Oryctolagus cuniculus: one gene and its partner. The protein of the gene in region 2 interacts with the protein of the main gene of each other region in a biochemical or structural test. Links are inferred from orthologs where the notes say so. Each region holds a gene or a part of one and is shown on either strand. Other genes may lie near its edges.

What was found. The genes of interacting proteins can lie anywhere in the genome.
Region 1: of the proteins of UBE2I (region 2) and TDG, one has a biochemical effect on the other in vitro, tested with the Homo sapiens proteins (3 studies listed by BioGRID). The link is inferred for Oryctolagus cuniculus from reciprocal best matches to the Homo sapiens genes UBE2I and TDG.

Annotation. Positions count from the first base shown.
Region 1 is NC_091442.1:106,812,113-106,815,758, reverse strand, and holds part of TDG (G/T mismatch-specific thymine DNA glycosylase), read right to left. Parts: intron 2,765-3,646; coding exon 2,629-2,764; intron 2,437-2,628; coding exon 2,354-2,436; intron 2,274-2,353; coding exon 2,179-2,273; intron 19-2,178; coding exon 1-18. UniProt on the Homo sapiens protein: DNA glycosylase that plays a key role in active DNA demethylation: specifically recognizes and binds 5-formylcytosine (5fC) and 5-carboxylcytosine (5caC) in the context of CpG sites and mediates their excision through base-excision repair (BER) to install an unmethylated cytosine.
Region 2 is NC_091450.1:33,712,826-33,716,571, forward strand, and holds the start of UBE2I (SUMO-conjugating enzyme UBC9), read right to left. Parts: upstream 2,299-3,746; 5' UTR 2,033-2,298; intron 1,850-2,032; exon of another isoform or gene 1,693-1,849; intron 1,546-1,692; exon of another isoform or gene 1,393-1,545; intron 1-1,392. UniProt on the Homo sapiens protein: Accepts the ubiquitin-like proteins SUMO1, SUMO2, SUMO3, SUMO4 and SUMO1P1/SUMO5 from the UBLE1A-UBLE1B E1 complex and catalyzes their covalent attachment to other proteins with the help of an E3 ligase such as RANBP2, CBX4 and ZNF451.

The DNA of each region.
Region 1 (3,646 bases), on a different chromosome or scaffold from region 2:
TGGCATCACATAGCAGAGCTGGAATCAAGGTTTTAGTTTCAGAAATGTTACAATTCTACTGAATCAACTCATACTGACATTATACAATTTATCTTAGAGTTACTAACTTAATACCTAACCACATACTTATATTGTATGCAACATCAATAAAAGTAGTTGTGCTTAAGTTCAGATCTGTAGTATTTATTTCAAAGTCAATAAATAAAACATAAACAGCCTTCTTCCCCAAACATCCATCTGTCAGTAAAGTCTTTTCAATAGAAATGCATGATTCATGGTTCATAATTCAAGAGACAGAAGGGCATGCGAGTGTATAATGAAGTCTTCCCTGCCGGCTCTGTCTTTACCCAGTTCCCTCACCCAAGGGCAAACAATGCTGCCAGTTCCGGAGATGCCATAAACATACAATCCAAGGTATCTGGATATACGCGCCCCTTTTAAAAAAATATACGAATGTTAACATGCTCTACTTCCTGTCCTGCACTCAATAATTACAATCAGAGTAAAAAAAGAACTTCCTTTTTTTTTTTATAATTGTGTAGTACTTTATAATCTATTCAACCAGAGCCCAACTGGGGACATTTAGGCTGTTTCTAATTTTTTGCTATTATAAGCTGTAGGAAAACAAAACAAAACAAAACAAAACCTTTGTACATATTTGAATGTTTGAGTATATCCAATAAATTCCTGGAAGTGCAATGGCTACAAAGAAAGACAGCTGCATTTATCAGCTTGGCTGATGGTAACAAACTGTCTTTAAAAAGCGCCTGTGAGAGGCTGATAGGATATGCATGTTCACATAATTTTTAAATTGGCCTCCATATCATGTTTTACAGGAAGAACACATTACTTGCTTTGCTTATGTATGTGTAGAAAATGGTGATTCATAAAGCTATGTAGTATGAATATTACTGGATTTTGTAATAACATATTTTCCAATCTAAAGATATTCTTCTATTAAAATGATTCAGAAGCTTAAAAAAAGATAGGTCTTTTTGTTGTTTCACAGTTAAATCACTAATAAATCAGCAACTTTAACATTTCATGATAAAGACTAAGTTTTAAAAGATAAATGCAGGGGCTGGCACTGTGGTGTAGCAGGTAAAGCCACAGAGCCTGCAGTCCTGGCATCCCATATGGGGACCAATTTGAGTTCCAGCTGCTCTGCTTCTGATCCAGCTCCCTGCTGTGGCCTGGGAAAGCAGTGGAAGATGGCCCAAGTGCATGGGTCCCTGCACCCATGTGGGAAACCTGGAAGAAGCTCCTGGCTTCTGACTTTGGCCTAGCCCAGTCCTGGCCTCTGTGGTCATTTGGGGAGTAAACCAGCAGATGGAAGACTTCTCTCTCTCTGTAACTGCCTTTCAAATAAATAAATCTTAAAAAAAAAGAAATTAGAGTTTGGAAATATTGCTATTTCTGAATGTTTGTCTGGGCTGTATTTATATGGCTCTAAAATGAATATACAAACAGGACCTGTGGTTTTTCTCATCAGAGTCATGTTTCTTTCATAACTGGGTCCAAGGGCTAACTCAATTGCATTTGATAAGCATACACCATTAAATATATTTTATTCCTGATTTTTTTATAAAGATTTATTTATTTATTTGAAAGTCAGAGTTACACAGAGAGAGGAGAAGCAGAGAGAGAGGTCTTCCATCCGTTGGTTCACTCCCCAGTTGGCCACAACGGCCAGAGCTGCGCCGATCCCAAGCCAGGAGCCAGGAGCTTCTTCCGGGTCTCCCACGTGGGTGCAGGGGCCCAAGGACTTGGGCCATCCTACACTGCTATCCCAGGCCACAGTAGAGAGCTGGATTGGAAGAGGAGCAGCTGGGACTAGAACTGGCACCCATATGGGATGCCGGCACTTCAGGCCAGGGTGTTAACCTGCTGCGCCACAGCACCGGCCCCTAAATATATTTTAAATGCAGTACATGAGCCAGTTCCTCTTAATAGTTTAGGTGGATAACATCATTAAGACATTTAGTTGATAAATATGTCTCTAATAAGATCCTAACAGTTTCTGAATTACTTTGTAACTATTAGTTCAAGTTGATATATGTATAGATATTATTCAACAAAATACAGTGTGCTTTTTTTTGTGGCATAAACTACAATGGATAGGGAGTACCAAGGAAGAGAGACAACATTTCACCTCCAGCTGCCATTTTAAGGACTTACAGTTTCTGTGTCTGGAATCTTGTGGGGTTGAAGCCCAAATTCCAAGTTCTTAACCTTTACTCCAAAAACTTCTCTACTAAAAATTTCATAAATACCTAAAATGAAATACAAACATATTTACAGCGTCTATAACATTAGCAAAGAAGAAAAGATAAAATTTAAAAGTAAATCTTACATTTTCCATTAAACACTGCTATTCGTGGCTGATATTTCTGTAATTTCTGGACTAGAATACGTCCTCCTTCACGAAATTCTTTACTAAAATTGAATTAAAAAGTAGTCAAAACCAAACGTGACAACATTTCTAATACGCTAAATTCAGGCTGTTTTCAATAAAAGATCACATCATATAGTCATTGAGCTCAGCTTGAAGGGCATGTGGATGATGTTCTCAGGGCCTGTGAGTGCCAGCAGGTTCAAGGTTCCGACTCCCCAGTGCTACGTCATTACCTGGAAAGATCCTTGCTGCCTGGCGTCGTCCTCTCCACCATATTGGTAAATCCAATGCCATACTTCCCAGGTAAAGTGTGATCGTCCATGTGGTTCAGCTGGACCTCACTCAGCCCTGACATGAACAGACACTTCCCTGCGAAAAGACAGTTCAGCTTATTTCTGCAGGTCAAAGGCTTTTGCCCAAAGAAATGGTGTGATAATCTAGGTTCTATTCTTGAAATGAAAAAAAATAAGATTGAGAATATTAAAAAATGGTAACATAGCTCAAACACCATATTGAGCAATTACTATGTGTGGGGTCAATCCTTGACATGGATTAGCTCATTTAATCACCGTAATTACTTTATGAGATTAAAATTATAATCTCCTTTTCTGTCTGAGAAGACAGAGCTACTAGTGTAGGAAACTTTGAAACTATTTTCCTTTCCAATAATTGCTGTTAACATAACCTGCCAACAAACATACACTAATAACAACAAACACCATGACAGTGAAGAAAATGGAGAATTCAGAAAATTCAGAACGTACCAGAAAGGTTTTTTTTTAAAGATTTATTTATTTGAAAAGCCTAGTGACACAGAGAGAAGAGAGAGAGGGGAATCTTCATCCACAGGTTCACTTCCCAAATGGCTGCTGGACCAAGCCAGAGCCAGGAGCCAGAAACTCCAACCAGGTCTCTCAGATGGGTGGGGCAGGGGCCTAAGGACTCGGGTTATCTTCCAGTGCTTTCCCAGGCACCTTAGCAGAGACCTGGACCAGAACTGGGAGTTGAACTCATGCCCAGTTAGGATGGTGGTATCGTAGGTGGTGGCATAACCTGCTGTGCCACAACAATGGCTCCACCAGATACTTTCAAAAAGAAAATGAAGAAAAAGTTTTGTTAGTTCTAAAAATGTGTTACTGTCACTTGCTCTAAATGCGTTTAATGTTACTCTTGGGGCTGGTGTTATAGCGCGGGGGTTGTGCTGCTGCCTGCAGCACCAGCATCCCATATGGGTGGCAGTCAAGTCCTGGC
Region 2 (3,746 bases):
GGGGGCAGCCCAGCGCCGCTGCCCCAGCCTGGCCTCCCCCACGCAGGGCGCCTGCGCCCCGGACCCGAGGGCCAGCGCCCTGACCAGGGCCGGCCACAGCGGCCCTCAAGGTCCAGGACCACAGCCCAGGGCCCAGGCCGCCGCGCCTGGACTCCACCAGCTGCTGTCTGCCCCGTCCTCGGAACCCACGGGTGTCGCCCTCCAAGTCCCTGGCTACAGAGCCACTCCACGGCTCACCTGGCACTGGTTAGAGGGGGAGGCTCTGCCCGGGGCGGGCGGCATCCCAGAACCCAGCAGGCGAGAGCCCAGGAGAGCCAGACCTCCACAGACGATCGGACGAGGACCACGGTCCTCGGGCTCCTGAGTGCCGGCGCCTCCGGCCGTCGCACACCGCGCACGGCTGCAGGCTGAGCCCACGGCTGCTCCACTTCCCAGCCGGCTCCCTGCGGGGGGACGCCCAGGGCCTTGGGCCCCTGCACCCGCGTGGGAGACCAGAAGAGGCTCCCGGCTTCCACACGGCCCAGCCCCAGCCGACGGGGCCGTCTGGGCGAGCCAACCAGCGGCTGCGCGACCTCTAACTCTGCCTTGACAATAAATAAACCTTTAAAGAGGCGAAGCCGCCGCCAGGCTGCCACGCCTTCCCGCACCTGGCGCCCCAGCCCGGGCCCCTTCCGGGAACAGGCGTGGCGGCCCGGTCCCAGCACACCTGCCTGTGGCTCACCACAGCCTCCACCTGCACGGGCAGCGCGCGAGCCAGCCCCGGGCGCCCTGGGGTCCCCGGAAGCAGGCAGCACAGCACGGGGCAGGGGCCGGCAGGGGCCTGGGGGCCGCGGGGAGCCCGACGTCGGTCCCCAAGGCTCCTGTGCGCCTCTCACACCCTCCCCGCTGCAACCCGCCCTCCCGAGCCAGCGCATCAGAACTGCACCCCTGCCCGTGCTGGGCCCGAAAGAGCTCCGCCCACAGAGACCCCCGCGGCGGGCGGCGCTGCCCGTCCGGGCCGAGCCACAGGTGCGCACCTGCTCGGCGCCGGGCGCCCGGCCTCAGTCTCAGCACGCAGCCGCGCTGGACAGGTGGGCTGCCGCGGCCCGCACCGGCCGCCTCCGTGGCCCTTCTCGGCCCTCCCGCACCCGCGGACGGGCCCTCTGGGGCATGCACCCCACGCCTCCCTCGGCTGCGCCCGACCCCCGTCCCGGGACCCCCGCGCCCCGCCAGACAAAGGCACAGCGGCGGGCTTGGCCAGCGGCCTTGCGGGAGAGGGCCGGGGCGCCGCGCGGGGCAGGCGGCCCACACAGGCCCCGGGAGGCGGACGGAGGGCCGGGCGCGCTCCGGGCCCCGAAGACGCGCGACCCCCGCGGCGGGGCAGGGGGCTGGGGGCCGCGGCCACGGCCTCACCTTGGCCGGCACGGAGCCGCCCGCCGCCCGTGGCGAGCGGGGCGCTCTCGGCCGCGCAGGAAAACTTCCCTCGGCGGCGGCGGAGCCCCCCGCGCGCCCGCTGGTCCGCAACCGGCCGCTCCCGGCGCCCTCCCGGGCGGCCCCGCGAGCCCCGCGGCCCGAGGAAGGCGCGGCCCGGGCGGCCGCCGTGACCCCGAGGCCGCGCGCCGCCCGGAAGGCCGCGGCGCCCGCCTCGCGCCCCGCGCGGGCCGCCGACGGCCCGGCCCGAGCCCGCGAGGCCCCCCGCCCGGCCCCGCTCACCTCGGGCGGCCGCGGCCCGGCGAGCGTCACGGACGAGCGGGGGCCGAGCGGCGGCGGCGGCGCTTCCCTTTGTCTCGGGACTTCCCTCCGGAGCCCGCTCCGCGCGCAGCCCCGAGCGCCGAGGACCCCGGCGCGGGCGGGGCGGCGGGGCGGGGCCTGGCCCGGGGCTGCCCGCCGCACGCCTGCGCCGCGCGCCGCCGCCGCCGCGCCGCGCCGCGCGCCGCCCGCGGCCCCGCGCGCTCCTCGCCGCCCGCGCCCCGCCGCCGCGCGCCCGCGTCCCGCGTCCCGTCGGGGAGCCCGGCCCGGGGGCGACTTTCCAGTCAGGCGGCGCCCTGGACACCTGTGCTCTTAAAGGAGCCGCGTCCTCGAAGTGAGGGAGCGTCTGCAAACTCTCCTTCGGGGCGGGCGGGCGCACTCGAGGATACGCCGGCGAGCAGCCGGGGAAGGGGCGCGCCGCGTTCCTCAAGGGCTCCCCGGATGCCCGGCGGGCGCGTCTCAGCGCGTAGGTTCCGGAGGTCTCCTTGGGGCCGGGGCCCGGGGCCGGGGGGCAAAGACCACTGAGGCCTACGGATGCCCGAAACGGCGCAGGACGGCGACAATCCCCTGAGTCTGGCGTCCTGTGAAACCCCCTGCAATTGGCCAATGCAGGGGCCTGGGCGGGGCATCGTCCAGATCCGCCCAATCAGCTGACGCCGTACGGAAGGCCGGACGCTCGCCAGACCGACGGGAGGAGAAGCGCCGACGCTCCCTAGCCCGGGGCCGTCCCGCCTGGGGGAGGGGCGCGCCGGGATTCCCGCGCGCGGTCTCGTCCCACGAGCGCGAGCGCGCGGTTCGCGGGTCCGCGCCGTCCCGCGCGGGCACGGCGGGGTCGCCCCTGGGGCTAGGGCGCCGTCCGAGCCGTCGGCGCGGTGGGCGCCCGGGGCCAGGCGATGGGGTCGGCCGCAGAGGGCCTGGAAGGCACTCATTCACGCCCTCCTCCAGGCTCCGCCGTCCGCAGCCTTCGCAGCTCTGGTTTGCCGGGACACGGAACGTGGCTGACAGGCCTGGCGGCAGCGGCGGAGACCCCCGAGGGGGCAGAGACGCCCCTCATTCCCCGCGCCCCTAGGTCCCGGTCCCAGCTTCCCCGCGGTCTGCGCTGGGCTGTGTGGCCGTGGAGAAGCCGCTGGACCGCGGCCCTGGGGTCCCAATGGGCAGGGGTGGGGGGCAGGGCCTAGGTCTGCAGGTGGGGGGGGTAGGGCCCAGGTCTGTGGGGAGGGGGAGCTGGGGGGCCCAGGTCTGCAGGTGGGAGGGGGTCAGCTCAGGGGTCCCGGATCCGCGGTCCTCCACACGGGGACACCTGGGGCAGGGAACCCACCTCAGATGGGCCAGGTTCAAAGGACACACTGAGGCTGGGGGGGGGGGGTGAGGGCCCCGGCCCCGCCTTGGGGGGCAGCCCTCCACAGATCACCCACAAATCCGGGCTGGGGGGCTGGTCAGAAATCCACACCTGAGCAAAACCCAGAACTCCCGAGAACAGGTGCGTCCCGACCCCGTGCCGGGGGCGGAGCCGGGGTCTGGGCCCACCCTCGGGGGGGGGGGGAGTGTGCGTCCCAGGACAGCCGGCGACCGCGGGCCCACCCCGCCTCGCACTCCCGCCCAGGGAGGAGCGCGCAGAGAGGCTGTGTCCCGGGGGGAGCGGAGGCCGGGCCCTCCTCCCCGTGGCCGCCCTTGGACGCCCTTCGCTGCCCACCGCCTGGTGACCGCGGGCAGCGCTGTCCCTGCCCCAGAGCCGCGCCCCGCCCGGATGCGGGACGCACCTGCCGCGCGCTCCCGCCTGGGCCTCGGCTGCCTCACTTCCGTCTCCAGACAGGGCCTCGCGCACCTGCGCCGCTCCCGCCTCCGGCCTCTGCCCGCGAGCGCTGCCCGCCCAAAGTCGCCTGCGGGGGCTCCTCCCCGGCCCCTGGGCGGCCGGGCGGGCGCTCTCGGAACGCCCCGGGGGCAGGGGTCCGTCTGCCTCCGCACCTACAGGACTGCGGCGCCTTTACCTGCCCGGGTGGCCCTCGCGCGGCTCCCCC